3 linked regions of the Saccharomyces cerevisiae S288C genome follow. Changing the gene in region 1 together with any one later gene gives a genetic interaction. Each region holds a gene or a part of one and is shown on either strand. Other genes may lie near its edges.

Region 1 (7,860 bases):
GGCAATTCGCTTTTCATTAAAGTCTCTGCCACGTTGCGTATACGGGCGTCCGATGGTTGTTCCTCCACGAGTTCATCATCATACTCCAAAAGGTCTTCTTCATCGCCCTCATCCAATTGAACCCCGACGTCATCCACCTCCACTGTTTTATGCGCTTCTTCTTCACTCATCTTTGATTCCATTGATACCAACAAAAACAATCTTTAACTACGTATCTTTTCCTTTACGTATATATAATTAATCATATATACTTCCCTTTTTTATGCCTTGTTGTAGTTTTAACATATCATGTACCACGAATGGATGCAGGCTCGGCGGGTATTTAGACTTTGCCCCGGATTATAAACAAAACGGGACTATTAGTATCATCTATCAAGAAATCCTTTCATTGAAAATGATTGATACCTCAAGGTGGATTTGACAACTTAAGAGGCGTCGTAAGGATGAAAACAAAGTTTGATCGCCTCGGTACAGGAAAAAGAAGTAGACCCTCTCCAAATAGTAGTAACGAAGCTTAGCAACACCCTTATCAGTTTACACCATATCGGACAACAACAGTATTTTGACTAACATTGTTACCTCTTTCTTTTATTATCTAGCGGAAATGCAACCAAAAGTGGTTTTTCTGGACTAGAATTTCAGAGGACTTATAGATATTGACTTTAACGACCAGTCTGCTACATTTAAAAGAAATAAGAAAAATAGCCGCCAACCAAGTTTTAAAGTAGGTTTGTCTTATAACAGTTTACTGGATGATTGTGATGATGAAAATGAAACAGAGGAAATATTTGAGGGCCGTGGTCTGCAATTCTTCGACAAAGACGATAATTTTTCAATAACAGCAGATGATACACAAGTAACTAGTAAATTATTTGATCACGATTTAGAGCAGACACCTGATGAAGAGGCGAAGAAACCTAAGAAGGTCACGATAAGGAAATCAGCGAAGAAATGTTTGAGCACGACCATATTACCAGATTCATTCAGAGGGGTTTTTAAATTTACAGAATTTAATAAAATGCAATCAGAGGCTTTTCCTAGTATTTATGAGAGTAACGAGAACTGCATAATTTCTTCACCAACCGGATCAGGCAAGACTGTATTATTTGAATTGGCAATATTACGTCTTATAAAGGAAACAAATAGTGATACCAATAACACCAAAATTATATACATCGCGCCAACCAAATCTCTATGTTACGAGATGTACAAGAACTGGTTTCCTTCCTTTGTGAATCTTTCTGTTGGTATGCTTACTAGTGATACCTCTTTTCTGGAAACTGAAAAGGCTAAAAAATGTAACATAATAATTACGACACCAGAAAAATGGGATTTGTTAACAAGAAGATGGTCCGATTACAGCCGATTATTCGAATTGGTCAAACTTGTCCTAGTTGATGAGATTCATACCATAAAGGAGAAAAGAGGAGCATCTTTGGAAGTAATTCTGACAAGGATGAATACAATGTGTCAAAACATTCGGTTTGTTGCTTTAAGTGCAACAGTTCCAAATATAGAAGACCTAGCATTGTGGCTCAAAACTAACAACGAGCTTCCTGCAAATATTCTTTCTTTTGACGAATCGTACAGGCAAGTTCAGTTAACGAAGTTTGTTTATGGGTACTCCTTCAATTGCAAAAATGACTTCCAAAAAGATGCTATATATAATTCCAAATTGATTGAAATAATTGAAAAGCATGCCGATAATCGTCCCGTACTAATATTTTGTCCGACTAGGGCTTCAACTATATCAACAGCAAAATTTTTATTAAATAATCATATTTTTTCAAAAAGTAAGAAAAGATGTAATCATAATCCCTCCGATAAAATATTAAATGAATGTATGCAACAAGGTATCGCTTTCCATCATGCTGGAATTTCTTTAGAAGACCGTACTGCCGTTGAGAAAGAATTTCTTGCAGGTTCAATTAATATATTGTGTTCAACTTCAACGTTAGCTGTTGGTGTGAACCTTCCCGCATATTTGGTCATTATCAAAGGCACCAAAAGTTGGAACTCTTCTGAAATCCAAGAGTATTCAGACCTAGATGTACTGCAAATGATTGGGCGGGCAGGAAGACCTCAATTTGAAACTCACGGGTGCGCAGTAATCATGACAGACTCTAAAATGAAGCAAACATATGAAAACTTAATTCATGGAACTGACGTTTTGGAAAGTTCATTACATTTGAATTTGATCGAGCATTTAGCAGCAGAAACCTCTTTGGAAACTGTATATTCAATTGAAACTGCAGTAAATTGGCTACGAAACACATTCTTTTACGTTAGATTTGGGAAGAATCCAGCTGCATATCAAGAGGTGAACAGATACGTTAGTTTTCATTCCGTTGAAGACTCTCAGATAAATCAATTCTGTCAGTATTTGCTTGACACCTTAGTAAAAGTGAAAATAATCGATATCAGCAATGGGGAGTACAAATCTACAGCGTACGGAAATGCAATGACGCGACATTATATATCCTTTGAGTCGATGAAACAATTCATTAACGCAAAAAAATTTCTATCATTACAAGGGATACTAAATTTACTGGCCACTTCTGAAGAGTTTTCAGTTATGAGGGTGAGGCACAATGAAAAAAAATTGTTCAAAGAAATCAATTTATCGCCACTTTTGAAATATCCATTTTTAACCGAGAAGAAACAGAGCCAAATAATTGACAGGGTTAGTCAAAAGGTTTCTCTTTTGATTCAATATGAGTTAGGTGGGTTAGAATTTCCATCATACGAAGGCGCTTCTAAACTACATCAAACTCTTGTTCAGGATAAATTCCTCGTTTTTAGACATTGTTTTAGATTACTAAAATGCATGGTAGACACATTTATTGAAAAAAGTGATGGAACATCACTGAAAAATACTTTGTTCTTACTGCGAAGCCTGAATGGTCACTGCTGGGAAAACACGCCAATGGTTCTTAGGCAATTGAAAACAATTGGACTAGTTTCAGTAAGAAGGCTAATACGACATGGAATTACCAATCTAGAAGAAATGGGGCATTTGTCAGATACTCAGATTGAATACTATCTTAACCTCAAGATTGGAAACGGCATAAAAATTAAAAACGACATTTCTTTGTTGCCTTGTCTGAATATTAGAACAAAACTAGAAAATTGCAAAATAGAAAATGAAGAGTTGTGGTTGACATTTAAAGTTGAGATTAGTGCAACATTCAAGTCTAGCATTTGGCATGGTCAGCACCTCTCATTAGATATCGAAACCGAGAAAAGCTCAGGAGAGTTAATCGACTTTAGAAGATTGCAAGTTAACAAACTACAGTCACCAAGGGGCTTTAGAATTTCAGCAAAAATATCACCAAAACTAGAAAAAATAGAATTCTCAATTCATTGCCAAGAAATCGCCGGACTCGGCAAAACAATCGTATATTCCACTGATCATTTGGCATCACAGTTCTCTGCGAAGACACCAAATATAAGGAAAGATCTAAATAGTTTAGAAAAATGCCTCTTCTATGAAAGCAGTAGTGACGGAGAAGTGGGGAAAACGTCTAGGGTTTCCCATAAAGATGGATTAGAAGAATCGCTATCCTCAGATGATAGTATACTAGATTATTTGAATGAAAGGAAGAAATCATCAAAGGCGGTTGAATCTGCAGCAGTTATTCACCCGGAGGCACACTCTTCTTCACATTTTAGTAATGGCCGCCAAGTAAGATCTAATGGCAATTACGAGTGTTTTCATAGCTGCAAAGACAAAACGCAATGCAGACATTTATGTTGTAAAGAGGGTATTCCAGTAAAGTATATAAAAGAAAAAGGACCCTCCTCAATCAAGCCAGTATCAAAACCTGATCAAATACGCCAGCCACTGCTTGCAAAAAATATCAACACAACCCCTCACCTGGAAAAAAGACTGAATAGTAAACCAAAGCAGTGGCAAGAAGAAAATACAGATATTGCGACAGTTCATACACTTCCTTCAAAAATTTATAATCTATCGCAACAGATGTCGTCTATGGAAGCGGGTGAACAAGTCCTAAAATCAGGCCCCGAAAACTGCCCTGAAATAATTCCTATTGATCTTGAATCATCCGATAGTTATTCTAGTAATACAGCGGCGAGCTCAATAAGTGATCCGAATGGTGATCTGGATTTCTTGGGTTCCGATATAGAGTTTGAATGAGCGGCATGGCCGGGAACAATAGACATTACTGATATTCATTACCCCAATCCTTTCTGTTATTTGTATTGCTTCCCAACAGAAGTTAGCATGTGTGAGAGTTTACTTATAATGCTTTGTTTTTAAAATGCAGCCAGTGGTGAAACAATTGGAACCTTTACTATTTATTAGGGAACAAGATGACATTGTCAATTGATATATTACTATTGTTACATATCGTGCTATTTATCATTTCAATTATTAGTCACATGACCGCGATAAGCGATCCGGGTCAGAATGCCGAGATAGGATAACTTTGCCGGCGGAGTTCCTAGATCAATTGAAAGAATCGAAGTGAGATTAGTAATTCATTCATATGTACCTTTTAAAAAAGAAACTCACTCTTGGAAGTGTCCTTTACTAAGGATTGTTTTGAACGAAAAGTGTAGGCGTGCCACAAATGTCAACACTTAGCGATAGTGATACCGAGACTGAGGTCGTGTCGAGAAACTTGTGTGGAATCGTCGACATAGGTTCTAATGGTATTCGTTTTAGTATATCTTCCAAGGCTGCACATCATGCAAGAATTATGCCTTGTGTTTTTAAAGATAGGGTTGGTCTTTCTCTATACGAAGTTCAATATAATACACATACGAACGCAAAATGCCCTATTCCCAGAGATATTATAAAAGAGGTTTGTTCTGCCATGAAGAGATTCAAATTAATTTGCGATGATTTTGGTGTACCTGAAACTAGTGTCAGAGTAATTGCAACAGAAGCCACGCGAGATGCTATTAACGCGGATGAATTTGTTAATGCTGTTTACGGTAGCACTGGCTGGAAAGTAGAAATATTAGGCCAGGAAGATGAAACTAGGGTCGGCATATATGGTGTTGTTTCCTCATTTAATACAGTAAGAGGTCTATATCTAGATGTGGCAGGTGGTAGTACTCAGTTATCATGGGTAATAAGCTCGCACGGAGAAGTCAAGCAATCCAGCAAACCTGTATCTTTGCCATATGGAGCTGGAACTCTTTTGAGAAGAATGAGAACAGATGATAATAGGGCACTTTTTTATGAGATTAAAGAAGCGTACAAAGATGCGATTGAAAAAATTGGTATACCTCAAGAAATGATTGATGACGCCAAGAAAGAAGGTGGATTTGACCTTTGGACCCGTGGGGGTGGTTTAAGAGGTATGGGACATCTGCTTCTTTACCAGTCGGAAGGTTATCCCATCCAAACAATAATTAACGGATATGCTTGCACTTATGAAGAATTCTCGTCTATGTCAGATTATCTATTCCTAAAACAAAAAATACCAGGTTCTTCAAAAGAGCATAAAATATTTAAGGTTTCTGATAGAAGGGCTTTACAACTTCCTGCCGTTGGTTTGTTCATGAGTGCTGTTTTTGAAGCGATTCCCCAGATCAAAGCTGTACATTTTAGTGAGGGTGGTGTTCGAGAGGGTTCACTTTATTCTCTTCTTCCAAAAGAAATTCGTGCACAAGATCCATTGCTAATTGCGTCCCGTCCTTATGCTCCATTACTTACTGAAAAATATCTATATCTATTGAGAACATCAATCCCACAAGAAGATATACCAGAAATAGTAAACGAAAGGATTGCTCCTGCTTTATGTAACTTAGCATTTGTTCATGCCTCTTATCCAAAGGAGTTACAACCAACAGCTGCATTACATGTTGCTACAAGAGGGATAATAGCCGGCTGTCATGGATTATCTCACAGAGCTAGAGCGCTGATAGGAATTGCTCTATGTAGTAGATGGGGCGGCAACATTCCGGAATCTGAAGAAAAATACTCCCAAGAATTAGAACAAGTAGTTCTACGCGAAGGTGATAAAGCTGAAGCATTGAGAATTGTATGGTGGACGAAGTATATTGGTACGATTATGTATGTGATTTGCGGTGTTCATCCAGGTGGTAATATCAGAGATAACGTATTTGATTTCCATGTTTCTAAGCGTAGTGAGGTGGAGACCAGTTTAAAAGAATTAATCATTGATGATGCAAACACTACAAAGGTAAAAGAAGAATCCACGCGTAAAAATCGCGGGTATGAAGTGGTTGTGAGAATTAGTAAGGACGATCTTAAAACAAGTGCTTCCGTTCGTTCCAGAATTATCACGCTACAAAAGAAAGTACGCAAGCTATCTAGAGGAAGTGTAGAGAGGGTTAAAATTGGCGTGCAATTTTATGAAGAATAAAGACATCTAGTCTTTAAATACTTGAACAATAAATACGAAATCCTTATATAAGCATCTTTTACTACCAAAAAAATTTAAAATTAAGCAAGAGAAAAAAACGAGCAATTGTTAAAAGAAACTAAAATCATGTAGATTTCATAAATCGTCATATTCTTTGTCTATATAAATATTTATCGTCACGAATAAATCCCGTGAATTTCTAACAAAGTTTATACAATATCACAGTTGTAAAAGTAAGAAAAAAAAAGATCATAGAAAACATGTTCACATAAGTAGAAAAAGGGCACCTTCTTGTTGTTCAAACTTAATTTACAAATTAAGTTTAAGCACCGATGATACCAACGGACTTACCTTCAGCAATTCTTTTTTGGGCCAAAGCAGCAATAACAGCGGCACCAGCACCGGAACCATCTTCAGCAGGAACAATCTTGATTGGGTAGTCGTCTAGTGAGGTTTGAGTCCAGCCGTAAATGTCCTTCAAAGCATTGGCAGCCTTTTCTTTGAAACCTGGGTATCTGTTGTAAACGGAACCGTCTGCAGCGATGTGACCGGTCTTGTAACCTCTCTTTTGACAGATAGCAGCAATACCACAAACGGACAATCTAGCAGCTCTAGCACCAATCAATTCAGATAAACGTCTGATCAATTTACGTTCTTGAACAGTAGTGTTGATACCGAACTCATTTTGGAACAAGTCATCGGTATCTTCTAGGTTCTCGAATGGATCTTCCTCGATTCTGGCTGGGTAAGAAGTGTCCATGACGAAAGGCTTGTCGAACTTAGACAAGTCTTGGTTCTTGAAGATGAAACCTTGTTTGTACATGTCCATCAAGGCCAAACGCAAAATTTCACCTAAGTAGTAACCAGAAGACATTTTTTCAAAGGTTTGTTGGCCTGGTCTTGGAGATTCTTCATCAATGGTGATATCGTATTTAGTTCTTGGCAAAACGACATGTTCATTATCGAAGGAACCGTATTCACAGTTGATGGCCATTGGAGCAGATGGTGGAATGTCATCAGATAGTTTTCCTTGTAGCTTTTCGATATCGGAACAAACATCGTAGTAAGCACCATTGACACCAGTACCGAAGATAACACCCATCTTAGTTTCTGGGTCAGTGTAGTAAGAAGCAACCAAAGTACCGGTAGTGTCGTTTATCAAAGCAACAACTTCAATTGGGATATTCCTCTTAGTGATTTGCTTTTGCAACATTGGAACAACATCGTGGTTTTCAATGTTTGGAATATCAAAACCTTTAGTCCATCTTTGCAAGATACCTTCATTGATTTTGTTTTGAGAAGCTGGGAAAGAAAAGGTGAAACCCAATGGAATTGGCTCAGAGATACCTTGTGGGAATTGCTCATCAATAAAAGCTTTCAAAGAGTCGGCAATAAATTCCCACAATTCGTCTGGATTTTGAGTAGTTCTCATAGCATCTGGTAATCTGTACTTAGATTGAGTGGTGTCAAAGGTACGGTCACCGCCCAACTTGACTAA
Region 2 (6,368 bases), on another chromosome or scaffold:
AATCTTAGTAGATCCAAAGGTGGACCCAATCCTTTTGAGACCAGAATCGGTTAGCGCCGAAGAAGCTGCAGGCTCCTTATTCTGCCTGGCCACCGGCTATAATATTCTGAATAAATTATCCAAGAACAAGTATTTGAAGCAAGATTCAAACGTTTTGATTAATGGTGGAACTTCGTCAGTGGGGATGTTTGTCATACAATTATTGAAGCGTCATTACAAGTTACAGAAAAAACTAGTGATTGTAACGTCTGCAAATGGGCCCCAAGTTTTACAGGAGAAATTTCCTGATCTGGCTGATGAAATGATTTTCATCGATTACTTAACGTGTAGGGGTAAATCTAGTAAACCACTAAGAAAAATGCTCGAAGAAAAGAAAATTTCTCAGTATGATCCGGTCGAGGATAAGGAAACTATACTTAACTATAATGAGGGGAAGTTCGATGTTGTACTCGATTTTGTCGGTGGTTACGATATTTTGAGTCATTCTAGTTCATTGATTCACGGCGGTGGTGCGTACGTAACCACTGTAGGTGATTACGTTGCCAATTATAAAGAAGACATTTTCGATTCATGGGATAACCCAAGTGCCAATGCAAGAAAAATGTTCGGGTCTATTATCTGGTCATATAACTACACACATTACTATTTTGATCCGAATGCAAAGACGGCTTCCGCCAATAATGATTGGATTGAGCAATGTGGCGACTTTTTGAAGAACGGTACTGTAAAATGTGTCGTCGACAAAGTTTATGACTGGAAAGACCATAAAGAAGCATTTTCTTATATGGCCACTCAACGTGCCCAAGGAAAGTTAATCATGAACGTCGAAAAATTCTAGATACCCACTTACATTTACAATATGTTTTATTTTTAAACTTAATGAACTTCATAATTTAATGCTTAATATTTTCCCCCTCCCACCTTCTCCTGGCGTTCTCTGTACGTACATAACCATTTATTTTAATATATAATCAAATATTGTAACAATTGAAGCAGATGAGTCTCGCTCCTTAGTTAAGCACGTGCCGATGATATCAATTGGATTTGTTAGCAAATCAGCCTTGCTGCTCGATTCTCTGCTTTTTTTTTACTTCTCGGTCATTGAAAAATCCTGACGAAAATATTTCAAGGTCCTATATGGTCATCGACCTTGAGCATGTGGTAGACTACATAATGCACATAGACTCTCAGCTTCAACTCCACAAGGCTTCTCCAGCAAAAATGAATTCAGAGTCTCGAGAAGATATGGCTATAAATAGTATCAAATTGCTAGCGGGAAACTCCCATCCTGATTTGGCTGAACAAATATCGAAAAAGTTAGGTATTCCACTTTCCAAAGTTGGTGTGTACCAGTATTCTAATAAAGAAACCTCTGTCACCATAGGTGAGAGCCTTCGCGACGAAGATGTGTATATTATCCAAACTGGAATAGGTGAACAAGAAATTAATGATTTCTTGATGGAATTATTAATTTTAATTCATGCTTGCAAAATTGCATCTGCAAGAAAGATCACTACTGTAATACCCAATTTTCCATATGCAAGACAAGACAAGAAAGATAAATCCCGGGCGCCCATTACCGCAAAGTTGGTTGCCAATTTATTGCAAACTGCTGGTGCTGATCATGTCATCACAATGGATCTCCATGCCTCCCAAATTCAAGGGTTTTTCCATATCCCGGTTGACAACCTATATGCAGAACCAAGTGTTTTAAATTATATTAGAACGAAAACAGATTTCGACAATGCTATTTTGGTGTCGCCTGATGCAGGTGGTGCTAAGAGAGTAGCTGCTTTGGCTGACAAGTTAGATTTAAATTTTGCTTTGATTCACAAAGAGAGGCAAAAAGCTAACGAGGTTTCAAAAATGGTGCTTGTTGGTGATGTTACCAATAAATCATGTTTATTAGTTGATGATATGGCGGATACTTGTGGTACGTTGGTAAAAGCTTGTGATACGTTGATGGAGCATGGTGCCAAAGAAGTTATAGCTATTGTTACACACGGTATTTTCTCCGGTTCAGCAAGAGAAAAGCTAAGAAATAGTAGATTGTCTAGAATTGTTTGCACAAATACCGTTCCGGTAGATTTGGATTTACCTATTGCTGACCAGATCGATATTAGTCCCACGTTCGCTGAAGCTATAAGAAGACTACACAATGGTGAATCCGTGTCATATTTGTTCACCCATGCTCCAGTATAGGACAATTTTTTATTCTTAGATTCCTGATTGCTTGCATGCCTAAATACTTCATAATTGTATTAGTTTAAAAGAAAACCTTTTACTGAGACAAAACTATAAATTTAAGAAAAAGGTTCCGGAGCCGGTTTAAAAAAAGAAGATTAAAGATATTATATTTATGTAAGAATTAAATTAATACTGTCAGAGAAAAAATAGTTTTAAAGGAGACGGTGAACCTTTACCTTCCTTGATATGCAAATATTTTTCAGCTTTTCCTAAAACTAAACATTCTCGACTTTTTTTTAGAAGACTTTATGGGTGTGTTAGAAACAAAGCTGTCGTCTATAGCAGTATCCAAATCGTCTGCTATAGGCAGCTCTTCCTTTTTCTTTTGACCACTATTGCAAGTTCTTAGCCAATCATCGTACTTGATTAGATTGTCTATATTATCATCTTGTTCTTTTGCCATATTTTCACGATCATTCTTTTCAACAGCGTTTGAATACATCGCTTTATAAAACAAAACATATGCTGTTGCCATATTTGGAGATTCACCTGTGAATTCTAACACTGTTTCCTCTTTAACTGCCTCTACCGTTTCGTCATCAAATAACAACCAGCCAAACTTTTCATGTTTACATAGGGAAACATAATGGCCGTGTTGTGGCCCACCGCCCATATGAACGACAATCCCAGCCAATTCATACTTTTGACAAACCTTAGAATTTATTGAAGAGCAAACATTTAGCGTCAGAGGATAGTGAATGTTATTAAAAAGCTTAATATTACAGTTTTGTTTCTCAGAATACTTGAATCTTTTCAAGTGTAATGTTAAAGTATCAGGCAATTGCTTCAAACCAACTAATCTCTCTGCCTCCTGTAAACCGCAACATTCGTCACAATAAAACTTGTTTGAGCCATTTAGCATTTCTCGCTGGTGATAACTTTTCAAAATTTCCTGTATATCTGTTTCCTCATCTCCCTGAACTTCTATGGGGAAATCCAAAAATGGCTCATCCCTAGATGTAATGTTATCGCACGTCAGACATTTTATTTGATTCGTTAAAGTGCCTTGAAACAAGTCACTGATGAAATTTTTACTCTTACTCGGTTCGCTATCGCTGTTGATATCACTGGCTGCTATTTTTTTATTCTCACGTTCTATATATTCACTCAACTCGTTTAATAAGAAATTGAAAAATTCGTGAGCATCCTGATGCATAGTAGTATTAAATAATACATTTTCTCTTTTGAGAACATCAACAAAAGAGCTAGGCGATACAACACCAGTTAAATACGTATTCTCAGTTATGCATTCAAAGATATCTCTCAAACTGGAATACAAAGTAGCCTTATCTGAGCCGTTTAAGCTATGGTCAATATTGAGCACTGGCCCACGAATAAGTGCGGATTTCTTTCTATGTTCTGGGGATATTTGAGAAGAGGAACTAGATCTTCTAGTATCTTTTTTATCAAGTGGAGTGGATAAGCTGCTATTACTTTCTCCTTTCAAGTCCAGGTTATTACTATTACTGCTACCTCTTGAAGGATTTTCATAATTGAGAACTCTGCCAACAATTATTTTACGCGGAACATCCGGAGGTCTATCTGTGACGTTCTCGAAACTCAATCTGCTCGGAGCACCAGGCTCATTAGGTGTTTCGACTATCAATGGAGGTGCGTCTTGAGGACGAGAAGAGGGTTTTCCAGTGGTTAATATAGCAGGACTTCCTTCCTTTTTATTATTGTCTTGTACATGTTTCGCGCTAAAACTTTTAAAAAATTTACTCTTCTTCTCTGAAGGCCCAGCTGTATTTGAATTTACAGAATTTACAGGGGTAGGCTTTCCATCATCAACAGATTGAGGTTTAGGGTTAGGCAAATGTCCATTGGTACCAGCAATGCTTTTCTCAAAACTTGCTTCGGTAAATATTCTTGGTTTCTTACCTCTCATTTCTTTCTTTCTTGGTTGATCAGATTCTCTTGATTTTTTTGGAAATTGCAATATATTTTCACGTAATGAGGACAGATTATAGAGACATTGAAGAACTGAGTTACAGTAACATGTATTGCCAAAATTTTCGTATCCAAAAACTTTGTTGGAGCCGTCTCCATAGGGCATTGAGTCGGACACCTTCATAGCTAATATGGGTGCCTCGGGCCCTTGCGTGATAATGCCTCCGTATGCGTTTATAGCCTTTGCGTTTGAAATATAAAATATCCCATCCTGGCTGTAATTACTGCCTTGATTGCACGTTTCAGAAGAATAGTCTAGTCCGGAAGAAATCTGCAAATTATTGTCTTCATTCAAAAAAGTTTCCTTGGTATCCAAATTAGAGACAAACAATGAGCTAGAGGGATTATCGGATGATTCGCTATAACAGAGTTCATCATTTATATCGTGGTTTACAGGCTTAAAGTCAACCTTTTCTACTTCTTCTGTAATGGTATCATTAACAGCCTTTTTCTTCTTCCCAGACTTACTTATAGTTAGCCATCTTCTGATCATGATTGCGCCCTTCTTGCGTGGGTTTAGTATGTTAATGAAAGTACTGGATCCTTACTAAAGCCGAATTTGGCCCCTTCAACAAATAAAGCTTGATGAGTTGAACAGTCAAAGGGTAAGATCTGGTATAGGCAATAATAATATTATCCAAATGGAAAAAAAAAAAATGAACAGGTGAAAAAAAATCAATTTGAAAACCAAAGAAAAACTCTATTGATTCCTTTGCTGTTGTCGACCTTCTTTCACACAATAGTTCAATTACGTTCTTTGGGTTCTTTATCTTTATAGTTATCTTGCCTCATCTCTATGTTCAACACTTTCGGATCGATGTATTTTTCAGCCTTCCGCTAAAATTGACGACCGTCTCCAAACGAATAGGGATAAAGAAGCAAGGACTGAGCGTTGGAGAAAAAAAAAAAGTTACCGGAATGGGAATAGATAGATACCTATAAGAAGCGTTATCGTTACTCATGAATTTTGGTAAATGCACACGGATAAATGCATGATATATAAAATATTAATAAGAATAAAATAAATAGGTAGTGAATAAATATTCTACTTTGGTGTGGTCATCATTTTACAAAGGAGGGAGGTCGTGATAACAAACTGATAAATAATCCTTAAGTTGATCCATTCTTGAATATTGTTACATTGGAAATAATCCGAAAAAGAATATGTATAAATAAAAGGACTCGAAGTCCTATGTAGCCGTCTTTGCAAATTTTCTTTAATAAATTAGCAGAAAACAAGGGTAATAATATTTCTTAGAATATTAGAAGAATATAGGCGTTAAAAACCTTGTTCCATGTTCATATCGAACCAACCAAAAAAGTCATCATTACTGGAGTTGCCTTCAATCCAGCCTGCACTTTGTTGCTGAAAAAAATCCGTTAGTTTGTTTCCAGGAGTCTTCACGTTGTTTTCATTATCGATGGTTTGGAAGTTAGAAGAAGTTACAGTGTTAGTGCCCGTAGAAAATCGTTGGTTCGTTTTGTTGCTATTGATATCATTACTTTTGGAAAACAAGCTCAGAGGTGGATATGCCGTGCTTTTAGAGGAGCCGGGGTCGGAAACGACGGAATGCAAATCTGTCATATTATTTGACTTCGAAGCAATCGGTGTACGTGAATGGGACATACTACTTTGTGATCTTCCAATCGCGTTGGCGTTGCTGAATTGATTATTATAATTCATGGTGACATTTTGTAAATTACTGTGCTCCCTTGGAATAGGGTGGTCTATTCCCAATGTAACATTATTAGATAAGTTGCCAACGGGGTGGTTCCTTAACCCTGGAACGGACGCAGGAAAATGATTAACGGGAGTGCTTACTGATCTTTTCATGGAGAGATCAGGAATTACACTAGGTCCGTTACTATAATAGTCTACCTTAGTACTTTGTGGATTGTTATTCGAAGCGGGGACAGAAGCCACTGGATAAATTGAATTAGAGGGAATTGATATGTCATTAGACGCATCCAATAACGTCCTATTATTATTATAATCGTTACTATTCGAGGTATTAGCGAATAAACTTTGAAATTTTACGCTGCCTGTTTCCCCGAGCATGGAAAGAGGTATCCCGTTAATCTCCATTATAGAACCGTCAGAATCTCCGTTATTTGTCTTGGCTAGCTTTTCTGCCTGCTTTAAGGCATTCTTAGTAGGAACTAAAGTGGTA
Region 3 (5,614 bases), on another chromosome or scaffold:
GGGGACTTTTTCAGTTTTCTCCAAAGCTTTGCTGATTTCTCAACGATCCACTTTTCTGCTTTTAATATTCTAGACTGACTATTAAAGAGATTATCGGTATGCTTATAGTAAATGAATGATTCTTTGTCCGTTATTGGTATCACAGTCACTTTAACAGGATCATGCAGATATTTTTGGAGTGAAGCCTTTTCAAGTTTTGTTGAATACGCCCTCATTCCGTAGAACAGTCGAGAAGTGGCAGTTATACTAGTTGGCGGTATAAATATTGAACGTATCATCTTTAATCTAAAATACACCGGATGAAGTTTTGGTATTGTGATAAAATGATTCTATCGATGAAGAGCAATGATATGGATACTGCTACGTTGAAAAGGAAAAATTTCATGGCTAACTAGTAACTGAAACTGTGCCAGATAGCACACCCTTTAGATACTATCTTGGCACAATGCCCGATGCTTACTCCCCGGCGGAGACAGCCGTCAAGTCCATCCATCCAAAAGTGGAGGAAAAACAAGAAAATAAAGCTATCGAACAAGGAGCGTTGAAGTAAGAAAAACAAACGAAGAACTGAATAAACACAGCCTGCTTCAAATTATGGAAGGAGCTGTTACACATGGTAATTTTCTTATTTTTTTTGATAGATGGTGGAAAGTGGTAGCGTGGAAGTTGCGGATTATCACGACGTTTTATGGGCTCTAAATCGGTATAAGCTCAACAAATGGTTGAGGGCCGAATAAACGAAAAATTATTAGACCATAATTGCTACCAGCTGAAAGATTATCTCATTATAATACGCTTGAAACCCTCTAAAATGTCATTCGTAGTTAAGTACACTTTTTTGATCTCTCCAAGGTTAGCCGCCCATATAAAAAACTCTAGGAACCAAATTTGGTATACTGCGTGCGCTTGAGATTCAGTTTTTGTGTAAATCGGTTGCTGCAAACTATTTATATTAATGTTACATCGATGCAAGATTTTAGCCATGTTCCTAGTTTCTTGTCTATGAGCGTTTACTCAACCGAGACTCTTGTTTGCTATTATCTCGATTCGACGAACAAACAGTTCCCTGGGTATTCGAACAAAGCACAGTTGGTGATTTTGTTTGAAACTACAGACGTGCTCTCTTTTACAAAATAAATTGTAGGAAGTGATCCGCACAGGCAGAGGGAATTACAGATCACGCTCCTCTCTTATGACTAATGCACTCAGCATTTTCTCTTCCTTATAAACTCCGTCCACAGTACCCGATCAGCTGGCTCATCGTTATTCTAAATTAACTGATGACTGATGTTACGTCTGCGTCAAATTCCGCCGGAATATTGCGTAGTTTTAGTAAGAAAAAAACAAATTCCGACGGGAACTCTCTGCAAGGAAGTTTAAGCGTGGGTTACTTTGCTAGGTTGAGAAAAAGAATTCTTTAGAGGATCACACGTAGTAAAAGAAAAAAAAGATCTCTTCGCGCCACTCCCGGTTTCTCTGTGGATACGGCGTTACTAGCGTTGCAAGTGGCAAAAAAATGAGTAATGTCACAATGGCCTGGCCTTGTCCCACTATCCCTTATTCATGGTTGAAAAATATGACCAAAATTGCTGGGGAATTTTCTCTTCGGTAGTGGACGACGACGACATTAGAGCAATAGGCAATAATTTAATTTGCGCTTTAGGTTCTTGCTGACGATGATGCGTGAGTAATATTATTACCAAGTTTTAAGGGCCTCATCGCTGGCCATTTTTTACACCTGCTTAAATACCCGATGATGATATATATAAATGATATTGGCTGCTTATCGATAAAGTGTATTTGATATGTTCCCGTTTAGTTTATTCTTGTTTCTTATCTACATAACAAACAAAGGAAGGACCCTGTATTGTTTTCCTAAAGATGACTGCTGCTAAACCAAATCCATATGCTGCCAAACCGGGCGACTATCTTTCTAATGTAAATAATTTCCAGTTAATCGATTCGACGCTGAGAGAAGGTGAACAATTTGCCAACGCATTCTTCGATACTGAAAAAAAGATCGAAATTGCTAGAGCCTTGGACGATTTCGGTGTGGACTACATCGAGTTAACCTCACCAGTAGCATCTGAACAATCAAGAAAGGACTGTGAAGCTATATGTAAACTAGGTTTAAAGGCCAAGATCCTTACACACATTCGTTGTCATATGGATGACGCCAAAGTCGCCGTAGAGACTGGTGTCGACGGTGTCGATGTCGTTATCGGCACCTCCAAATTTTTAAGACAATATTCCCACGGTAAGGATATGAACTACATCGCCAAGAGTGCTGTTGAAGTCATTGAATTTGTCAAATCCAAAGGTATTGAAATCAGATTTTCCTCTGAAGATTCCTTCAGAAGTGATCTCGTTGATCTTTTGAACATTTATAAAACCGTTGACAAGATCGGTGTAAATAGAGTCGGTATTGCCGACACAGTTGGATGTGCCAACCCAAGACAAGTATATGAACTGATCAGAACTTTGAAGAGTGTTGTTTCATGTGACATCGAATGCCATTTCCACAACGATACTGGTTGTGCCATTGCAAACGCCTACACTGCTTTGGAAGGTGGTGCCAGATTGATTGACGTCAGTGTACTGGGTATTGGTGAAAGAAACGGTATCACTCCTCTAGGTGGGCTCATGGCAAGAATGATTGTTGCCGCACCAGACTATGTCAAGTCCAAATACAAGTTGCACAAGATCAGAGACATTGAAAACCTGGTCGCTGATGCTGTGGAAGTTAACATTCCATTCAACAACCCTATCACCGGGTTCTGTGCATTCACACATAAAGCAGGTATCCATGCCAAGGCCATTTTGGCTAACCCATCTACCTACGAAATCTTGGACCCTCACGATTTCGGTATGAAGAGGTATATCCACTTCGCCAACAGACTAACTGGCTGGAACGCCATCAAAGCCAGAGTCGACCAGTTGAACTTGAACTTGACGGATGACCAAATCAAGGAAGTTACTGCTAAGATTAAGAAGCTGGGTGATGTCAGATCGCTGAATATCGATGATGTTGACTCTATCATCAAGAACTTCCACGCAGAGGTCAGCACTCCTCAAGTACTATCTGCAAAAAAGAACAAGAAGAATGACAGCGATGTACCGGAACTGGCCACCATCCCCGCCGCCAAGCGGACTAAGCCATCCGCCTAACGTTCCCAAACCATTACATTATGTTCTTTCACTTATTACATACGATATATAGCATCTACATCTACATATCTAAATGATGTTTTTTCCCATCTACTTTGTCCGATACGCATTAAAAGAAGAAGATTTACTCTCCCGTGATGCCGGGCCAATCAGACGCGCGCATTCGCGGCAGAATAAGGGGAGGCTGCTGCGGGTACCAAATATCCAGATATTCACAATTATGCCAATCAACTGTCTAGTTGCTGACACCCATCGTTTTCCACTGCAACGAGGTTTTGGGGCTAGAAAAGGCGTTAACAATCGTTAGAGAAGGAGGGGTTCATAACTTGACTTGTTGTATCTTGTTTAAAACTTTCTTTGAATTTGTTCGTGGTTGAATTTGTTTTTGCTATCCCAAAGGAGTGCATTTTACACGCATTACTACAGCACACTTTTATACAGTTCCACAATAGAATATGTTACCACGTTCAGCATTAGCACGCTCATTGCAATTACAGCGCGGTGTGGCCGCAAGGTTCTACTCTGAAGGTTCTACCGGCACCCCAAGAGGGTCAGGCTCAGAGGATTCGTTTGTTAAAAGGGAAAGGGCCACGGAAGACTTCTTCGTTAGGCAGCGTGAGAAGGAGCAACTACGCCATTTGAAAGAACAACTGGAAAAACAACGAAAGAAGATTGATTCTTTGGAAAATAAAATTGACTCGATGACCAAATAATCATGCGTTTCCGCAGAAGCTTTTTTTTTTTTTTTTTTAGAATATTCTTACTCTTTTATAGTCAAACAGCAGAAAAACTATATAATAATACATCACACTGAGCTTTTGCATTTTCGATAACTATCATTCTAGTTTTCCTCTGGTTTGAATTTTCCTCTTGTCTGTCTGACTAATGTCACTCATTATTTCCACTTCGCGCAAAGTTCGTCCCAATGCGGAAAGGCATAGAAAGATAGGAACAGTGTGGAACATGGAAAAGTTCCAAATAACGTCAATAGTCCATACTTAAGATACGAAATTTCAAAATTCCTTCTTTTTTGTTTCAACAAGCTTAGCCTAACACCAAGAATATACTTAGCATCTCTTCGCATTCAAAATTTCTCTTCCATTCTTTGACGTTTTAAATCATACCTCGTATTCTTTACACAAAAGAAAGATACCTGTGAAATATATCTGAATATGGTCCGATTAAATCATGCAGCATCATATTTTATGCCTATTTTCTGCTCCACAAGGCCTCACATAGTGATACTTTCTGCGCTGTTTAGTATTTCACTGTTTTCACTATTCTATGCGTCGTCCGAATTACTGCTACACCAGTATGATGATCCATTGATGTTCAAACCAAATTCGCAGGACTATTTCAGGACCTTTCTTTTGGGGCTTTTTTCACCATTTCTTTATTATTTCCTGAAGACCTTTCTATTCAATATAAATCAAAGGTTTTTAATATTGAACCTGATAGTGGATTTTCCTATCAACGACGTCTTTATGCTTTTGATACTGATTGGTTTAGCGTACCCTCAGGTGCAAGATCACGAAGGCGGTACGATCAAGCATAAGGAATGTTCTTGGCACATCATTCCAAGACAAGCCTATATCTTTGGTATATCATGGGCCCTGGGTGAATTCACCATATGCATAATAGGGAATTTGTTTAACTACCAAGAAATCGCCGATCCAAACATTAATAGTGGCTTCACACACCAGGAAAGCGCCAACACTTACTGTAACAATAATGATATGAGCCATAACGATGACTGCGGTTGTAGTACAGAATATCGCCCCAACGTCGTAGACAGAAGTGATATTACGTTGTCCAAATGTATTGAAGTAAGAAATGACTCATCTTCCATATCGAATAACGTATACTCGTCTGAGTACCATCCAATCAAACCTCTACGTTCATCGTCATCAACTTATGGCAGCATACGACAGCAACCTCATGAAAATAAGAAGCAGCTGCATGTACCAGATAATTCGCAGGACGATACAATTATCATGATGAACCCCATCGACAATTCATTAAAGTTGACAACTCTAGATACGGGTGATTTGAGTTTCCCCATAGACGAAGAACAGCCCATTTTGAAGAAATCTTTTGGTTATACATGGGCAGTTCCTAATGAAAATACACAAAATACTACTAAAAGCTTCACACCGATAAAGAGATTTATTGCATTTAGCACGGCATACCAGTTGGTCACCGGTTTATTGTTAATGATATTGGTAGTTGGTAGTAATATCATGTTGACAATTGGGGAATCATTGATTCTGTCGATGTATTTCGTCTATGTTCGCGGCCATGAAGGATTATTTACTCCCGTGGTGAACTACTTCGGCTCAAGAACCATTTCAAATTTCATCTTATGCGTAATAATTCCTTTCATATCTCTAAACTTCCTCATCAACACTTCGATATATTTAAGAAGAGAGCTAGACGATTGGTTTAA

What was found. A genetic interaction does not mean that the proteins touch.
Region 2: mutations in RTG2 (region 1) and UBP13 together harm fitness more than expected from each alone (negative genetic interaction), as found in Saccharomyces cerevisiae (2 studies listed by BioGRID).
Region 3: mutations in RTG2 (region 1) and LYS20 together harm fitness more than expected from each alone (negative genetic interaction), as found in Saccharomyces cerevisiae (2 studies listed by BioGRID).

The regions. Positions count from the first base shown.
Region 1 is NC_001139.9:24,220-32,079, reverse strand, and holds RTG2 (Rtg2p), read left to right. Parts: upstream 1-4,595; coding exon 4,596-6,362; downstream 6,363-7,860. Other genes in the region: RMR1 (Rmr1p), read right to left, coding at 1-170; HFM1 (DNA helicase), read left to right, coding at 444-501, 654-4,159; HXK2 (hexokinase 2), read right to left, coding at 6,685-7,860. UniProt on the Saccharomyces cerevisiae protein: Required for a novel path of interorganelle communication between mitochondria, peroxisomes and the nucleus, thereby maintaining a functional metabolic interaction between the tricarboxylic acid and glyoxylate cycles.
Region 2 is NC_001134.8:91,193-97,560, forward strand, and holds UBP13 (ubiquitin-specific protease UBP13), read right to left. Parts: upstream 4,691-6,368; coding exon 2,447-4,690; downstream 1-2,446. Other genes in the region: AST1 (Ast1p), read left to right, coding at 1-838; ribose phosphate diphosphokinase subunit PRS4, read left to right, coding at 1,222-2,202; SEF1 (Sef1p), read right to left, coding at 5,477-6,368.
Region 3 is NC_001136.10:131,556-137,169, forward strand, and holds LYS20 (homocitrate synthase LYS20), read left to right. Parts: upstream 1-1,881; coding exon 1,882-3,168; downstream 3,169-5,614. Other genes in the region: MRX19 (Mrx19p), read right to left, coding at 1-278; INH1 (ATPase inhibitor), read left to right, coding at 3,624-3,881; AIT1 (Ait1p), read left to right, coding at 4,341-5,614. UniProt on the Saccharomyces cerevisiae protein: Catalyzes the aldol-type condensation of 2-oxoglutarate with acetyl-CoA to yield homocitrate. Carries out the first step of the alpha-aminoadipate (AAA) lysine biosynthesis pathway.